3 linked regions of the Drosophila melanogaster genome follow. The protein of the gene in region 1 interacts with the protein of each later gene in a pairwise test. Each region holds a gene or a part of one and is shown on either strand. Other genes may lie near its edges. The genes, in order: ab, drongo and BtbVII.

Region 1 (6,027 bases):
TATATATACATATATGAGCACAGACATATATTAAGCGCATACATCCGAATATTTTAATTAGAGTATAGATAAAAAATAACAACAACAAAGGAAAAAGAGACGAGCAGAGAAGAAGTGAACGAGCGGGGGGCTGTCAGGGGCGGAGGCAGCAACAAATATTAACAATAATTATACCCAAAATATAAAGACGCGGCGACACCTATTCCATATAAATTTTAGGTTTCCACAATTTTTTCACTCACTCTCGATAAAAATAACATTCCACACGTACACACACAACTAGATGGGATGCGGTGGGGCGGTGAAGAAACAGATTTGGGAAGTGAATTTTGGACAGTACCTACACACCACCACCACCCATTCTTGCCCCTGGAAGAGTGGAGGGGGGGGGGGGTGCTTGTGGGTAAAAATAAATACAAATGTCGCCGGCATCAATAAGATATAAATTAAAAGCGTACTACAATCCCAATGTTAATTAGAGAAGCACGAGAAGCGAAGAGAATGCAGCGGAGGTGGGGCCAAACATAAAACTAAGGTGGAGCGAAGTGAAGCGAAGAATGAGAAATTCAGCCCCGCTACACTGAGATAAAGTAGTGGAAATCTTTTAATTATGAAATACATTTTGATATCCTAAAAGGCAAGAATTGTTAGCTATATATAACAATTAACAAGATATATTATGAGTAGTTAACACAGAATTGCAGAAGAATTCTTAAACATTGAAAAATTTTCTAGATTCTTTCTTATAGTGCAAGATTATATACCCATTGAGTTTGGGTATGGAACTTTCCTCCGCCCAACCAATTTCATACCTCGCTCCAATGGAAGCGCTTGACGTGCTGTCGTGTATCTATTAGATACATTAGCTGCCGCATGCCACCAACTTGCGCTCCCTTTTTGGGAAGCTGTAGCTGCATCTACAGATCGTTGCATCCGAAACTCTGTGCATTTGTGGATCGTTGGGATGTTTGGTGGTGCGGCGACAATTTCGGTGTTCTGCCATTTGGAGTGTTTTTACACGTAAATTTATTTTGTTTTTGTCGACTTTAATAAAGTTGCATCTGCCGAGGGGTGGCACCTCATAGCTTTAGCGTCTGCCGAAGTGGGAGACAAACTTTATTTATTCCAGCCTCAGGCAGCTTAATGACTTCCTGCAGGGGCGGCTACTGCGAGAAATCGGAGGAGGGCAAGATTAAGGTGCGGTTCCAGTTCTCCACGGAACTGTCTTCCTTTTTTTGAATTATTATTCTACCATAAAGCTCCGCATATCTAAGGAAAGTATGGTTAGGGAAAATACATCATATTAAGTATATTCATGTATCTTTAGCCTTATTGTTAAATTACACTATTATTGGACAAATATCTGTGTACATTCATTCGTTTAGACATCCGTTTAGAAAATTTAGTAATTTGCACATTTGAACGTTTTTCCTTAGCTGCGTCATTTTAATTACAATTTCAAATAAGGTCAAATGATTTATTGAAATCCGTCTCACAACTACAGTGCATTCCAATGACTAAAGTTATGCTTGTGTCTTAGTTTGTTTTCTTATTTGGTCCACATTTTTGTAAGTAAAGTTAAAGTAAATTAAAGTATATTTTAATTCAAAAATTAGGGTTAGTTCATTTTTATATTTATTTTTGTACTTAAACTTACATTTTACATTTCCTTTTCAGACTGAGAAATAACTTAATTCGATGAAATGCTACTTTATTTATGGAAACTATAATTTATCAGAGAGCGCACATTTTATCGCACTTAACACCCAATGAATCAAAAACTCGGGCTGCTCTCTTCTACCGAAAACTTTTGGCCAAGAAAGCGCTGGCAATTCTGCAATTCAATTGGTCGGCCGTCCGTCTTTCTTTCTTCTCGGGCTCTCTGCAGTCTTCACCTTGCCACTTTGCCCGGTTGGAAAAGTAAACACAATCTGATTGTATGGCTTAGATAATAGCCCCCTTGTGCGCCAGTGTGTGTGTGTGTGTGTGTGTCTGTGAGTGTGTTGGCCAGTTGGAGGAGGATGGGGCTAAAAAAAAACGAGTGAGAAACCACCGACGCGCTGCATGCAACATGTTCGCCGTCGAACGTCAAACGACGAGCATCGAACGTCGAACTTCGAACATCGAACGTGGAGCCGACGAAGAGTGCGTCGGATTTTACTTACCGCTTACGAAAACAGGAATTCTTATTACGCGCAGTACAATTTCAGAAATCAGACGGGCAGCAAGTGTCGTGGTTCAAGTGCGGCTAATTTGGCTTATATGTGATTTTCAGTGTTTTGATGGCTTAGTAAACTATCAGAAACACAGAGACAACTGAATTTGAACTTCTCAACTAAATAAATACAAACCATAACATAACTAAAGAAAACAAAGAACTGTAATATAAAATAAAAATAAATTAAAAACGAAAAACTATTAAAATGCATATAAACCCGAATTGGAACGAATAAACTTGGTGCTGTTAACTGTTTTCGAAATAAATCCAAGAAACTTCCGTTCCTAGTGCGAAACTATAAACAACAAGAACTGCAGCGGCGACGCGTCGGCAAATTGGCATAAATAAATAAAATCAGCGACGTTTTTTTCTGCTGCCGCTGTTCTTTTTTTACAACCCGATTTTTATGAATGAATGCAGCTAACAGGCAGAAAAAAAACCGCAACAAAAGAGCGAGATAGCGCGAGTCGCGTGCACAGGAGCGAAATCGTTGAAGAAAACGGGGGAAGTGGGGGCGGTTGTAAAAAAGCGGACAGGTTGTACCGTTCGATTGCCGCCCACCGCCCGTTTGTCGCCCACTTTTTGTTGTTATTATTTTTCGGTTTGCTTTTCCGCTTTTCCTCCTAGGCGACACACGCTCATGCTTGTCACTTTGTTGCTTTTGCTTTTCGCCTGTCAGCGGCTGTCACAAATCCGCAAACAAACACACAAACACTCACACACACACACACACGCAGCAATTGTTGTCGTTGCAAAATTAATAACGGAAGTTGTGCATTTTATTAATAAAAACGAAATTCACACAGAACCAGATTCACAATCGCAATCAGAATCAGAGAAAATAAAACCAGAACACGAAACTCGCTGCGAAAAAGAGCGCACGAAACAAAAAACAAAAACAACAAAAATCGCAAGTGCAGCGCGACGGCTTCTTCGTCTTCTTCTTATTCTTGTGGCGTTTTTCTTCTACTTCGTTTCGTTTGTTTTCCGCTTCTCGGAAAACCCAGGAAAATGCTCTCTGATTTGCCAGCGATTCTCATTCATTTTGTTCTTATTGTGATTGCAGTTGTGCAGTGTTGAAAAATCAAACTAAATTCAAAATCGGCTTTAAAGAAAACAAATTCATAAAGGGAAATACCCAAAGAAAATAACCCTCAGTGTTTCAAAAGTGTTCAAATTTTACAATTGTGGCATCACAACAACAAATTCAGCAATCATCGTGAATTTTCAAAAAGAAGATTAAGAAATCAACAGTGCAAACGGTAAGTTTTAAAACTGATTCTTGGAAATGTATGTACGAATCTGCTTGGATGGCAACTTTTTAACAGGGAATTTGATCGTTGAAGTCTTTGGGGTTAGTTCCAATGTTTGTTTTCTGACAGTATATGAATTTTAAGTTATTGATTTACTTAAATTTAATGTAACTAATATTCTGGAAACGAAACCAAACGAGAATCAAATCGTTTAAGCTGTTTAACTAGATCACATTAAAATCGTAGTAAAATAGAACTTTCTCGCTTCCCTAGACTTTTATAACTTTATATGTCATGATTTTGTTTTACATAAATTGAATTAGGTTAACAAATGTTTTATGACCGCGATCTTTGTTTGCGATCTCTCTCAGTGATCGTAAACCGAAGTTAATGGCTTACAAAATCGGGCTCACAAAAGGCGTCAGCATTTGGAATTGTCTTTAAACTAGTTGGCCAAAATGTGTGAATCTAAGAAAATTATGTATTTTTTGGTGTTACACGCTTTCTTGATTGGTCTGCTGCTCTTGAAGACAGACCCGAATAGTTGGTGTCCTCTTGCGATTTGATAAATGAATCTTGCAACTTAGGGAAAACGTTTTCGGGGGAATTTTCGTGTGCAGTAATTGCCAACTTTTTTGGAGGCAGTAGTGCTGTGGCACCCATAGGTAGGTAGTGTTGTGTGTTATGGCCAATAATGGTAATAGCAGCTAATGAACCTGACTCTCGACTGAATTTTTGGATTTAGTCTCGGAGTCGGGGGTCTGCGATACCCAACACCAAACACCATCGCGTAAGTGTAGATTCCTCGCCTGGGCGAGTGTTGTTTTTATTTTTCACCGGCCCGTTGAAAACAAACACAAATACGTAGATGTGGAAACCCGGGGATGCTGGGAAACAAAAGGGTCAAGGGGGCGAACAATTAACGCGTCGCTGTAATTACAGCAAATGGTTAAAAAAAAGGGGTTTGGGAACAACTAACCAGAAAAAAGACACAAAGAGAGGGAAAAATAGAAAATATTAATAATCAATAGCCCGCTAAAAGGCATCGATGGAGTCGGTCGAGTTGGTCGCGATGGTTGAGGCAATTTTATCGGTCATTGAACGGCCAAAAGAAGCCAATACCAGAAAGAGATTTTTTTACAAGCCGAAAACGCAAATCGTCGGACTTGGAAATTATGCCAAAAACTTCGACTTTAGACGCGGCAAGAAGCGATCGGTTTTTGGTTAATTACCCGGCCAAATCTCCGTTAACCTCCGGCGAAGAAACTTCGATGGCCTTTTCTGGGGGGCTGAGCAGTTAATTACATAAAAACAAGTGATTTGCGTGTGCGCTGCTGCTTTTGCTGCTGCCCACCGGCATCGATTCTCCAGCTCCGTTTCTTAGATTTTTTTTGTGTTGGGTAATTTTCAACTCGCCAACTTTCGGCCCGGCTAATTAGCGGAGAAAATCTGCGGCACAGGCCGAAAACCCATTTTTAGGTTGAACACTTGCGAGTGTTTGGTAAATGTCCAAGAACAGGTGACCTTTGACTTTAGTTTGAGGGCCTAAAGCATGATTAGGTAAGCAGGAATCAATTTAGAATTCAAAAAAGTCATTACATATTCAAATACTCGCATAAAGAACCTCCTATTAGTTGCTTACAAATTTTTCTTATTCCATAATTACTATTTTAAAACTTAACGCATAGCTTAACAAATTTGCTCACAGAGTTTGAGAGCTTATTTCATTACTTCAGTTCTGTAATTATATTCTGTGCAATAACCTTTTGCTCTTAGCTTAGATTGTATGAAAAAGTGCAGAATATAAGTACATTTTGGCCGTCATCTTCTCTCTAAAATTCTGCTTTATTTCATTATGTCTCAAATCATTCTTCAGCCTCGGTTCTCACTTTTTTCCTGCCCAGTTTTCGAATGACCTTTGGTTGGCGCCGTCTTCTCCGCATCCTTTTGCCCCACACTCCATATAATTTATCATAAAAAATAAAAGTTTTTTGGCTTTTTACGAACCTTTTCATGGGGTTTCTGCCCCCCTGCGGTCAGATGAAAAAAAAGTGGAAGGAAGCTGGACAATCGGCGCCGTGACTGCGTTCTAGATAAATAAGCATTCTTAATTATCCCTTTGCCTCCTTCTCTGGGGTGGCAAAAATGTTATAAACAATGGAAACCGCGCACTTAATGCGTTTTCTGTTTTCCAGAAGAAGGAAAAAAAAAACGAACGCGGCTGCGGCAAGTATTTTTCTTCATATTATTCATTATTTTGTGGCCAAAAAAGAAAATGTTTTTATTGCCTGCGAAAAAGGGTATAAAATGCTCAGTCGCCATTAGCCAAGGACCCGCAACCAAAACGACAACAATTCCAATCAAATGTAAAGGAGCAGGGCATAAAAAAAGGAGATTTCCAAGTGGCCCAAATGCCGAGATACTCAATGATGGGTGGAGATTTGGGTGTGAGAGGTCCAAAAAGAAATGCCGTCGGTAGATGAGATTTGGATTTCTGGCCCATGACAGGCCAGTGACTTTTCACTTTTTCGCATGTGAGCAAATGTGTAATTGAAG
Region 2 (6,018 bases), about 10 Mb from region 1:
TTACTTGTATTCGAAACAATTAAGCTGAGAAATCATCATGTAAGTCTGCGTTATTATCCTCCGGCTTTGCCATAGCTAACTCTCGATTCCAACAGGACGGAGTACTGGAAATCAAACGAGCGCAAGTTCTGCGACTTCTGCAAATGCTGGCTGAGCGACAACAAGGCGGTGAGTCCATAGAATAAACTCGCTTTTCGGCACTCTAATGACCCCTAATCCCGCAGAGCGTCGCCTTCCACGAGAGTGGCAAGCGGCACAAGATGAATGTGGCCAAGCGGATCACGGACATCAGTCGCAACAGCGAGAAATCGGAGCGGGAGCGCCAGAAAATGGACGCGGAGATCCGCAAGATGGAGGAGGCGGCCATGAAGTCGTACGCACAGGATGTCCATTCGCGCGGTGACATGACCGCCAGGTCCATTAACACGGTAATGAGGGCCACCGCCACTGCTGCCGCCTCAGGCGGAGCTCACTCCTTCGCCGGAAGATCACGCCAAGTGGACCCCATGCGCCTGGAAGGATTGTCCGACGAAGAAGAAGACCAGAGGCGGGTGGCTCCCGGCAAGGTAACAAGCGACGCAGCCGTGCCCGAGGCATCCCTCTGGGTGGAGGGCAAGTCGGACGAGGGACACACCTACTATTGGAACGTGAAGACCAATGAATCCGTGTGGAAGCCGCCGAAAGAGGGCTATCTGTCCTACGAGGAGTACGAGCGCATCAACCAGCTGGCCATCGACCAGCAGCAGATCTCCCAGGCCGAGGAATCGCTGAAATTCCGCGCCAATGTCGACGAGGAAGTGGCGAGGGTGAACCGAGAGAAGATGAAAGCCTTCCGCAGGACGGACAATCCCAAGGAAAAGAAGCAGAAGGAGGAGAGGCGTCAGACATTCAAAACGGAGGAAGAGGCGGCCACCAAAGAGATTGGACAGTGGCAAACTGTGGAAGTGAAGTAGGGCCTTCCTACTAGGTTCAAATGCATTTACTGATAAATTTATGGATTTTTGTAGAGCACCTGAGCAGCCCATCGACTGGCAGCTACCCAAAACGGATTACTACAGTGCTGCGCCCGTGGTTTCCGCCTCGAGTGAACCAGAACCTCCAGTCAAGAAGTTCAAGGAAAAGACGATTGGCGGTCTGGATGAGGAGATAGCCGCCACTGCGCCCGCCACGTTCAAGCGGAAATTCATCAGGAAGGGAAACAGCCGCCAGCGCGCCGAGGATTAAGAAGTACTCCATGTGCTTATGTGCATATTTCACCTACTAGTTAGGTTTAGGCATAGGAAATGTTTAGGTTTTTAAGTGTTTGCTTATACCAATTAAAAAGTGAGATGCGTTTAACTAATATTAGATTAAACATAGCTATTGTAGAATTATTATTATCTTTAGTCGACTTGCATTCAATAAATATTTCCCAACATTTTAAATAGTAATATGTTTTTTAAAAAGTTTTAAATTTCGATAACAGTTATCGAATTAGGTTCAATCGGTGTGTGTCTGTGCTTTAGTTGCGGCATATTTAGGTCTTAGAGCTCCGTCCAATTTTAGTGCATTTCCAGCGGCAACACGAGGTATGTTTCTCCCGTCCGCCAACGGTCACTCTGCTGCTGTTGTTGTAGGCGAGCGGTCGGAATTTGCGTCGGAATTGTGTTGAGTCGAGTCGCGCTATTTTGTTTCGAGTGCGCTGTGCTGTTTGGTTTCGTTCCGTTTCGTTTCGCTGTTCGTTTTCCACTCGTCTTCGAATCCGCACTGCAAACAAACAAGGAGAAGGGGAAGCAGCAAAAGTGGCGAGTGCATTCGCAGCGTCGAAATTTCAATTGAAATCTGAAATCTGTGTGGCAATTGCAGCGGCACTCGGTGTAAATAGATTGAATTGAAGCGAAATTCTGCGAGTCGAAGAAGTGAAAAGTAAACAATAACACGGGCAATCGGAAAAGTGGTTTTCGATAAATCGCACCGCACACACACACCTGTCAGTGTGAGTGTCAAAGTGAGTGTGTGAGTGTGCGTCGAAGGAGAGGAAAGGTCAAGCCAAAAATTGCGTAAAGAAAAGGAAAGGAAAGCTTAGAAGAGGGGAAGGGGAATTACGTCAGTTTCGCATTCCCGATAAAAATTTTTGATTCCCTAAACGATCCTGATAGCCAGCCATTACGATAGGCAAAAAACGATAACAGCGGAAATTTACGTCAATTTGGAGCAGAAAGTAAACGATACCAATTCCCGAAAGAATTCAAAAAATCAGGCAAGATTCAGTTCGTGTACGCTTACAACAGCTCCGCGCCCCACGCCGCCTCCTCCTACCGCACCGCCGTCGCCCCCTTTGCGCCCTACGCGGCCGAGCGGTCCACCCACCACCACCCACTCCCGCCCCCCGAGGAGCGGCTGCCCTCGGACACCGAGCAGCTAGCTGGATCCGACGAGGATCGGGCTCAGAGCCACGAAGCGGAAGCGGAGGAATCCGAGGAGGAGCGCGCAGGTAGCGGACCCTCCGTCAGGCCGCTCATCGCAGCAGCAGGAGCAACAACAACGACAACGTCGACGTCAGTAGTACCGGAAGCGGTACAAAGGGCGGCGGCCAAGGGAGCGACAGAGACGGCGACAATGGCGGTGGTGCGCAAGAAACAGGACGACAAGTACCTGCTCGCCCTGCGGGAACTAGTGGCCAGCGGGACGGGGAGCAATCGGCAGTGCTTCGACTGCGGCCAAAAAGGACCAACCTACGTGAACATGACCATCGGATCCTTTGTCTGCACCCGCTGCTCCGGAGTCCTGTAAGTATTTGCCTTCTTGTTGTTGTTTTCTAGTCTGGGATAATGTAGGGTAGATCCAGGAATTAGGCATAAGTCGCCTGCTAGGTGACCTTTGTTATGAGAATGTAACTGTAACTTGGCTATTCATATTTTAGTTATTTCTTTGGTTGTCTCTTTGAGTTTACCAGGTATTCAAGATACCTCTGGAAAATATTTCAAACAATTTCCGATGCACAGATTGATCTAGCTTGAGATTTGTAGAATAAGGATGGTGGGTTATGAACTGACAAATCTCTTAAAATCTTCCACAAGAAGAATCCAGATATACGACATTTATGGTTATGGCTTTCTTGAATGGCTTTTGGTTGAATTCACACATGTTTTTTATCAAAAAGCTGGCTACCTATATACATATTCTGATAACTGCCAAATGGGCTACCCCCACTGCGTTTAGGAGTCATATAAAATATTGCCTTGAGTGTTTCCAAAAATAGAAATGCAAATTGAGAGCTATCAACGTCGATCCGTGGACCTTTCTTGGTCTCCCGTGTTATCTTGACTTGAACCCAGCCAATTTGAACTCGCCTGACGTCCATTTGGGATCTGTGCCCGAGTGGAGTGACCGATAATTTGCGATCGATCGATGCAATGTCCGATCCCGCCCCCCATTATTATTTCGTATTGTGTGTGAAAGCGAAAGCAATTCCCCAACAATTTCGAACAATTTCGCACAATTTGGCTTCCTTTCCTTTTTGAATGCAAATGCAAATCGAAGACAAAACTTTCAATTGCGCGACATCGCGGCGAACGAAATTGTTTTGTCTTCGCCGGCGTCGCTTTCTATTCGTGTTTTTCCGTGGGGAGACGTTTTCGAGAGCCGCCCACCTGGCGGTTGAGTTGTGGGTGTCCTTGGCGCCCCTCAGTTTATTTTTTATTTTTGCCCCTCTAAGTAATTTGGCAAATTGGCTTTGATTTGTGAGCACTATGGCCAAATTGGGGTCATATATGTATTACCACTCCGCCGACACTGCATTTCATTTGATTTACGCATTTCCGGATCAAGCACATTACATGATTGCTCTTAAACTTCCGCTTGGCCCAGGTCCAGAAGCCCAGTCTCCCACGATTCGTGTGCCCCAGATTGTGGCCTCTCAATTGGACAGCATGCGGGTTTCTCCGCTGAGTTATCTCTATCATCGGAACCAGGTTGAAAAGTAGCCAACTGCAATGCGTTCGCCCTGCTGCACTCTGCAGTCCCCAACTCTTGTTTCGATGACTCATTGCCCATTCCTCAGTCTTCGGTGTGCGGTGCTCAATCCTCAATCCTTAGTCCTCAAACCTTGTTGCCAACTGCCAAGGGAAACAAATGTTGGCATGTAAATGAAAAGCCACATAAATGCCGGGGACACCAAGCGATTGCACTGCGAGAAAGGGTTAATGGTTAATTGTAACAAACAATTGGTCCTGTTAGTCGGATACTTCTGCGGTTTTTCAGTTACTAGTCTAACGACGTGCCACGTTTCTGCCGGTGTAGCCAAAAAGGGGTGTGGAAAGGTACTGCAGCAAATGGGGGACTCGGCCGAGGAAGGGGGCGTGGCAGGGGCGACAGCAGGCGACAACGAACTTCCTGGCTGAAAATGAGACTGGAACGTCGACTGCGACAAGGGAGCGAGTGCAGGGAATACCAAATGAAACCAACTCCTCCGACTCACGAAGAAATGGCTGTGCATGTTCGGCCCGCCTTTGGATATTGGAATCCGCTGCAGACCGGCCGGTCACTTGGAGCGCTTAATGGAGGAAGCGGTTCAGGAATGAGAATGGAACTGGCAATGGTAGTGGGTTTCAGAATGGGAATGTCCGCGGTGGCGCGGGGAGGAAAACCCGTCCGACGGCTTTTGCCAGCCACACTCGGTTGTATTTTTGGGCCGAAGTTGCTGCTGCTGTTGCGCCTCCAATTGCAGACAAATTGTTGCACCTCAATCAAGCAGCAGTCGCCGCCATCTGCTGCCACACCGCATTTCGGTTGCTTTGTTTTTTTTTTGTTTTTGTTTTATTTTACTCTTTGGCTTTTGCAGGGTTCAAAGCTTGTGCTGGCTCATAAAAGTCAAGAAACTTGTTGATTAGATAAGGCGAAAGCAAACGGCCATTGGGAGCAGAGCTGAGCAGAGCAGAGCGGAGCAGCAATGGTGAGCCACTTTCTCAGGCTTCGTCATCATTCCCACCGCACACAACACACTAACTACACACAGCAATGGTCATTTGAATACGAAGTTGCCGGCTTAATAGTGCATTATTCAATTATTAAATAACTTGGGGATGTGAATCAGTGCGAGTTCAGGCGAAAAATGGAAATACCCATTGCTAGATGTGAAAATGTTTAGCTATACATTGGAGGTGCTTATATTTCTGCTTTAAATTTCAGATAGATTTACTTCTTCTAGTAAGCATCTTTCATAATGCTTACTTTATTTAATACAATTTTACCATCAAATGCCGTAATTTGTTTTCCTTGTGTCAACTGTGATTTTTTCTAAACTGATTACATATACAAGTGTTTTTATACGCTTAATCTTTCAAAACAAGTTTATTATGTGCGATTTCCTGGACTTCGTTTTGGAGTGTTTGAGTCATTTTTATTATGTTTTTAAACTTTTATTTAAAATATTTTATCAATCTTCCCGGCTGAGCTATTTCTGTGGTCACGATTGTATGTTTGCAGTCATTCGTTGGTTGTTTGTGCGATTCTATCTGTCTGGGAGTCGATGACTGTAGTCATGCTATAGCACACATAAAATACATATATATGGCATATATGGCATATTAGTTGATATATAATATGAAATTATTAGATAAACTGATCTGATGCTTCTAAAAGTACCAAACTTCCTATCTCTGATATCAATTTGTTACCAAACCAAGAGGGGGTATCAAAAACCTTTCATATTTGAATTTTCAAAACCATTAAGTCGTATTGTAGGTACATTTGTACATACGGGCAAGTGAACTGTGGAGCAGACCCCACCCGCTTTCCGAATCCCCGATTCCCCATGCCCATCGCGTTGGCATTGCAGTTGCAGTCGAACTGGGCCAACTGCCTTCGAGTGGAGCCCACAAAAGCTCGGAGCACGTCTTTCGCTCTCTCGTTTTTTTTATTTCTTATTTGGCCCGTTCTGCGGCTCGTATGTTAATTTCCGATTATGAAACAGCATAAACATGTCTGCATTTGACAGCCCCGAAAAGAGGACCATGGGGGGCGGGGTTGGGGGAAGGG
Region 3 (6,049 bases), on another chromosome or scaffold:
GTATTCCTCGCGGGTATTGTACTTCACCTTGTGGCTGGCCAGACACTCAACGCGATCCTCCAGCAGGAACTTTAGAGCATCTGCGGGATTTGTTTGGTTCCGCGAATTCCTGTCCAGCAGGGTGAGCAAATGCAGATAGAAATCGTTGGCATCTTGCTGCTGTTTGGTGCTGAAATCTGGGTGATTCTTGCCCACAATGTTCTTAAACATGGCCGGCGATATTCCGGTGCTGTGATCGGTGTCCAAAGTGTTCTCGGCAATACTGCTGTACTTTCCCGACTGCAGACCAGTTCCCAGCTTGGCCATTTGAATATTGAAGTCGTTGGCCGGGTCGCTGGGAAACTCTTTGAAATAGCGTTCCGCTCCAGTGCCCACGAACCGCTGCTGGAAGTCTGGGATGACGAAGAGCACTTGCATCACGCTGTTTATGTAGCAGGAGTTGCCCAGATTGCGCATGCCAGTGTATCCAGGACCAGCAACAGGCTGCAGCTCACTTTCGCTCTCCGTAAGCGCCGTCCACTCGCCGATGCGCTGGTTAATGTCCAACTCTAGCTCCACCATCGACTTCTCGCTCTTCTTCATCGCCGCCATGTTGATGCCAAAGTGGGAGAGATGGCGCTCTAAGTGTGGATCGAGTACCATTTCATCCTCCGGGTAGGAGAACACATCCGACTTGCCATCAGCGGTGATGGTGCCCAGTTTCACCGCCAGCGGGAAACCCGTTACTCTGTAGTGCTCCACGGCGTGATCGTTGCCGCCACTGCCGTCAAAGAACTTGCGTCCGCACATGATCGAACCATCGGTCAGATTAAGCCAGAGGTTGTTGGTCAAGTCGCACTTCTCGCACTGCCAGCCGGATGGGGGAATCCTCTTGCCATTATCCAGCTGCTGCAGGTTATCTGCGTACTTCGACGCCTGACGCACTTCACCATCCCAGGTGCCTGAAAAATTATTGATTTTAGGCTACCTTCGTCAGCATGGGATAACAATCCTGCAACTCACCCATCAGCGTGGCCTTCTCCAACTTGGCAATTGCCGAGTCGGCGGCCAGGATCGCTTCCACCGACTGGGTGACACGCATGGGCAGCTCTGGATCCGGATAGGGCAGCTTCTTATCCAGGTGCGGAGCCACCACGATGCTGTACGTGTCCTTGATCTCGTACTTCTTGGCCATGTCCGACTCGTTGTAGCCGCCCTCGACGCCAATGGCCAGGCGGGTGATCTTCCGTTCCGGTCCTGCCTCCGACTCCGCGCATTCGGCCTCCATGTCGGCGCCCTCCTTGATCGTCTTCACCCGCTGGATGTGGAGGAAGACCCGGTTGCCGGTCTTGTCGGCATACTCCCGCACATACGCCTCGCCGAAGCCCAAAAAGCTGTGCAGGCACACGTACAAACCGGTGGGCGTCTCGGGATTGTCATAGGAGTAGACGCACTCGTCCTTGTAGATGGGAGGACTGCCCGCCCCGGATGCGCATGGCACGTTCACCTTGGATAAATGCTTGCGTAGTTCCTCCATAACGGTATCTGGAATCCTGTAGGCAGCTCTTTTCTCATAAACTTTACGGACCGAATGTAAAATAGTATAGTTGATTTTTTTTGCAGCTGCTGCTTAGAGATGAACATGGGAAAATGCATCGATACCGGCGAGCATGGATATGCGAATATCGATGGGTTGAAATGGTGTTTTACTGGTTGAAATCAGCTTTTAACAATTCTTACCCTTATTTTTGTACCTTATAACGGCTTTTGAGTGATATTTACGTATTTGGCCGCCCAATAAGCACAATTAGTTTAATTTGACTGCTGCAGGCTATCGTTGTTTATTCAATACTGTCATCTCTAGCCAAAGCCAACAACAAATTCGCGAGTCACCAAGGGAACCGAACTGGTTCCGTTAAGTACGAACAATGCGGGGAAAGTGTGGCAACGCCGATTGTGATTCATCAGATGTATAACCGAAGTCAACATTTTAAAACAACAATTCAAATGTTAACCATTTAAATACAATAAACAAATTATTTTAAAATTTGGGACAATCTTTAACAATTGGGATACTAGTTTTGATCTAGGACTGGTCACACTATTAAGCGACCTGTCAACTCGTTGTATACAAAGTTGCCATATAGTCACAAAAATCTTTCGCATAAAGAAGTAAAACGTAAGAATTTTCATATGCGTTTTTCGCCAGGAAATCCGCATTAAAATAATGTAAAAAGTGGTAAAAAAGTTGGCGCAAAGAGTGAGCCAGTCAAAGGCATTGAAATTCAGCTCGCTCTAACAGTTTTCGGCGTTGTTTTGCCCCTCGCATAAATTTGTTGCGCGCCATTTTGTTTTTGGAAAGCAAAAGAAAAAGAAGAAATACAACAGCAAAAACCTACCACAAAAAGTCAAAGTTTGTAAAAGCGATAAAAAGCAAGAGGAAAAGGAATTCTGTGGGGGGAAAAGCGAGTGAATAACATGTGGCGGCTTGGCTAGTTCGAGCATCATCTTTGTGCCTCTAAAAGACATACGAAAATAACGCGCGACATGCACATAAATAAATACGACTGAAACACTGAAAACTGAAAATATCGATACGATGAATAAACGAAGAAGCAGCGATTAGTACGTCGTCGGCGGTCGTCTGTGTGGGTGAGAGAGTGAGGAAGACGGGAATGGGGAAGGCGATTAAGTGCGAAAGAGATGGAGGAGCGCGGGGCGCGTATATAATTACGTCATAAGAATTAAAGAAAATTCAAGGTCTACAGCACTGCGGCTATACAAAAAGCTATACGATTTCGTTACGTTCTCGGTTTTATCAAAAATAAAACTTTGGCCAGTGAGCAGCAACAACAACAAGTATGGCTGTTGTGTTCCAGTGTGTGTGTGTGTTGTGTTTCATTTTCGCGACTGTATAATTACATACACACGCAGTCCCGCCGATGTTGTTGTTTCTGTTTGATTTTTTATTGTAAGCGAGAAGAGCGCGCAGCTGTGAAAAGCAGATGAGAGAGAGAGAGGAAGAAAGCGAGAGAGTGGAATTTGTTGTTGAGCAATTTGTGTAACCATCGATAATGTTTGATTTATTTAAACCCCATTTTTATTACCCCTTTTTGCAGTGACTCGCGATGCGTGCGGCATAGAAGTCGTCGCCCCCCAAAAAACCGTGATCCCGACCCCCCACACGCACACACACATGTACAGACTGCGATTGTTCATAAATTTAAATTGATTAAAAGTCGGAGCGAAAAAGTAAAGCGAACAAAACACCGGAAAGCAAGGAAAATTAATAAAAATCAATAGAGGCGAGCGGGAGGCGATAAAAAGTGTTATCAGTGCGAATTAATTGGCTACGAAGAAGGAAAGAAGCAGGAGGCGGAGGAGCGGGAGCAGGAGGAGGAGGTTGCTCCGGAGATTGAGGTTTAGGGAGCTCCAAATCCGCATCCCGGACGCGGATCCGGACCCCTCGACATCATGTCCGTGCAGCAGTTCTGCCTGCGGTGGAACAACCACCAGCCGAACTTCATCTCCGTGTGCTCCTCGCTGCTGCACAATGGCACCCTGGTGGACGTCACCCTGGCAGCCGAGGGTCGCCAACTACAGGCCCACAAAATAGTGCTATCCGCCTGCAGCTCGTACTTTCAGGTAAGTTGGAGATCGCCGCAGCGTATATCCCTTACGAATTACACTCAAATGTGTTCGACAGGCTTTGTTCACCACAAATCCGTGCCAACATCCCATTGTCATCCTGAAGGACGTGCAGTACGATGACCTAAAGACCATGGTGGACTTTATGTACTACGGCGAGGTAAATGTGTCGCAGGAGCAGCTGCCGCACATCCTCAAGACCGCCGAGATGCTCAAGATCAAAGGCCTAGCGGAGATGCCAACGGATCCGGCCAATCTTACCAAGTCGGATAGCAAGTCCTCCACCGACGGCACCGAGATGGTGGGCGGTGCGGGAGTGGGCACTGGAGCGGGCAACTCGGCTGGCAGCCTGGGAGCCGGCAGTGGAAGCAGCGTCGGCGACTCCCTGTGGAGCAGCAGCGAGGCCCAACAGTTCCAGCAGCAGCAGCAACAGCAGGCCCAGCAACAGGCACAGCAGCAGCACCATCACCACCAGCAGCAGCAGCAGTTGCAGCAGCAACAACAACAGGCGCAGCAGCAGCAACAACAGCAGCAGCACCATCACCACCACCATCAGCAGCAGCAGAGCGGACAGGCGCAGGCGGCGCAGACGCATCACCACCAGATGCGACGTACGCCGTCGCCTTTGAGCGCTGGAACCTCGCCGGCCACCAGGCGCAAGCGCTTGCGCAAATCCTCGAATAACGGTGAGTTGGAGTTGGGTAAAGCATCGTCGTGATAGATCCAAAATTGTAAGGTCTCAAAAAATAACCGGTTTTCGTAATAACGCAGGTTCTGGCGATCGCAACAACGCGGAGGAGCAGCACAACAGCTCACTGGACGCGGGCAGTGGTGCCGGCAACGCCGGTCTCAGTCTCGCCCAGATGAACCAGATGACATTTGGTGCGGGCGGCGGCTTGGCCGGCCACTCACTGCACGCGGCTAAGCTGCTCAAGGAGTCGGCCAGCGCTGAGCTAGAGCAGCAGCCGCAGGACTCGGATCTTGACGATGGACACGGACACTTACACATGCAAATTGTAATGAAATTGGTCACGTTAACCTTGTACCCTCGTCCGCATGAGCAAAGTCACTAATTGTTTTCTTTTTCTTCTCGGTGCCCACGTGCAGAAGCCCGAAGTCGACATTGGCGGCGTGAACCAAACGATGCCCTTGGACATCTCCGGCGGTACCACACCATCCGAGCACGATGCGCCGAACTCCCAGTCCTCGCACTCGGGTAAGTCGCAATTGGAAATCAAAAGCCAGCACACTGTTCCATCAAAGCTCATTGTTCATCGGGTAGGGATCTCATTCGCCAGGTTGGATTCTTTTTTTTTATCGTTTCTTAGTTTTGTTTGCCTTGATTACTTTAAAAAACACAAATCACGGACAACTTAACTGCAATTCGTAGTCAAAAGAAAGCTGACACACTATAGACTAAGCAGGAGTCAAGAGGGAAAACGTGTATAGATCAGAAATGACTTGACTTTTTTGAAACGAGCATGACTGAAAGAACATAGCTTTACAATGTTGGTATCATTTGCGAACTGACTAGGGGTTCACTGAACTGATAAGCACTGTCACCTATGTTCTCTTAAGCAAATCAATGTGAAATCTGAACCACTGTGTACTCTCGATTCATCGAAATAATGCCCACAATCATACTTCATCTGCATATCTCACACACGAACGGTGCCATTTCGAAACAATTTCAGTACACAGCGCTTGGAGAAATGAATGCTAAAGCTAAATATGAGATCTAGTATACCGATTATTCATTACTGATTTACCGACTAAGTGCAACGAAATAATTGTGAAATGCCGAAATTTTCTATGTTTAACTATTATTGTGTATTGTATTCCAAAAAACCGAATCCTGCCTGAACTTGGGAATGGGAGAGAGCTAGCACAAAGTCCAAAACAAAAACTAAAACTTCCAAAAACTAAATCTATGATTTGTTTTTCAATTGTTCATTCTCGATTTGCGTTTACTTGCGTTTTTTTGATTTTTGTTTTGTGGGAATTTCCAAAACAGCGGTTTCCGATGATAATGATTTAGCCTTAGCAATCTTTCCTCTACTACTTACCTCTATTGTACCTATCTAAGAACTGCCTCAGAACCTATAAACTGTCTCAGTACCAACACAACTGAACTAAGATCAAACCTGACCTGACCAGACTCAAACAGACCCAATCCCGATCCATTAGAGCTAGGAGAGAGCGATCTCAACTTCAATTTCGATCGAAATGCCCCAGTAACCAGTACCAGTAACAGAACCAATCTTTCATTCGCTGTCTCTCTCTCTCTCCCCTTCCCAGGTCTGCAATGGACAGTTGTTGATTCCAACTATCCGCGCTTCTCCCTGCCCGCCTGCCAGTCCAACTTGTTGGGCAACGGCGGAGGCAGCGGTGGTGGTGCCGGTAGCCAGAGCAGTGGTGCGAA

The links.
Region 2: the proteins of ab (region 1) and drongo interact in a two-hybrid assay, tested with the Drosophila melanogaster proteins (one large-scale study listed by BioGRID).
Region 3: the proteins of ab (region 1) and BtbVII interact in a two-hybrid assay, tested with the Drosophila melanogaster proteins (one large-scale study listed by BioGRID).

What each region holds. Positions count from the first base shown.
Region 1 is NT_033779.5:11,208,484-11,214,510, forward strand, and holds the start of ab (abrupt), read left to right. Parts: upstream 1-2,194; 5' UTR 2,195-2,264; exon of another isoform or gene 2,265-2,290; intron 2,291-3,284; 5' UTR 3,285-3,480; intron 3,481-6,027. UniProt on the Drosophila melanogaster protein: Expression is vital for development; may be involved in transcriptional regulation. In embryos, muscle specific expression is required for segmental nerve b (SNb) motoneuron target recognition within ventral longitudinal muscles.
Region 2 is NT_033779.5:846,649-852,666, reverse strand, and holds the start of drongo (drongo), read left to right. Parts: upstream 1-1,595; 5' UTR 1,596-2,598; coding exon 2,599-2,768; intron 2,769-6,018. Other genes in the region: CG4291 (uncharacterized protein), read left to right, coding at 38-39, 96-168, 225-949, 1,008-1,224.
Region 3 is NT_037436.4:3,146,530-3,152,578, forward strand, and holds the start of BtbVII (BTB-protein-VII), read left to right. Parts: upstream 1-2,116; 5' UTR 2,117-2,158; intron 2,159-2,170; exon of another isoform or gene 2,171-2,208; intron 2,209-2,372; exon of another isoform or gene 2,373-2,392; intron 2,393-2,603; exon of another isoform or gene 2,604-2,631; intron 2,632-3,098; 5' UTR 3,099-3,453; coding exon 3,454-3,624; intron 3,625-3,685; coding exon 3,686-4,313; coding exon of another isoform or gene 4,314-4,328; intron 4,329-4,398; coding exon 4,399-4,643; coding exon of another isoform or gene 4,644-4,655; intron 4,656-4,734; coding exon 4,735-4,843; intron 4,844-5,925; coding exon of another isoform or gene 5,926-6,049. Other genes in the region: Usp5 (ubiquitin specific protease 5), read right to left, coding at 1-941, 1,003-1,516.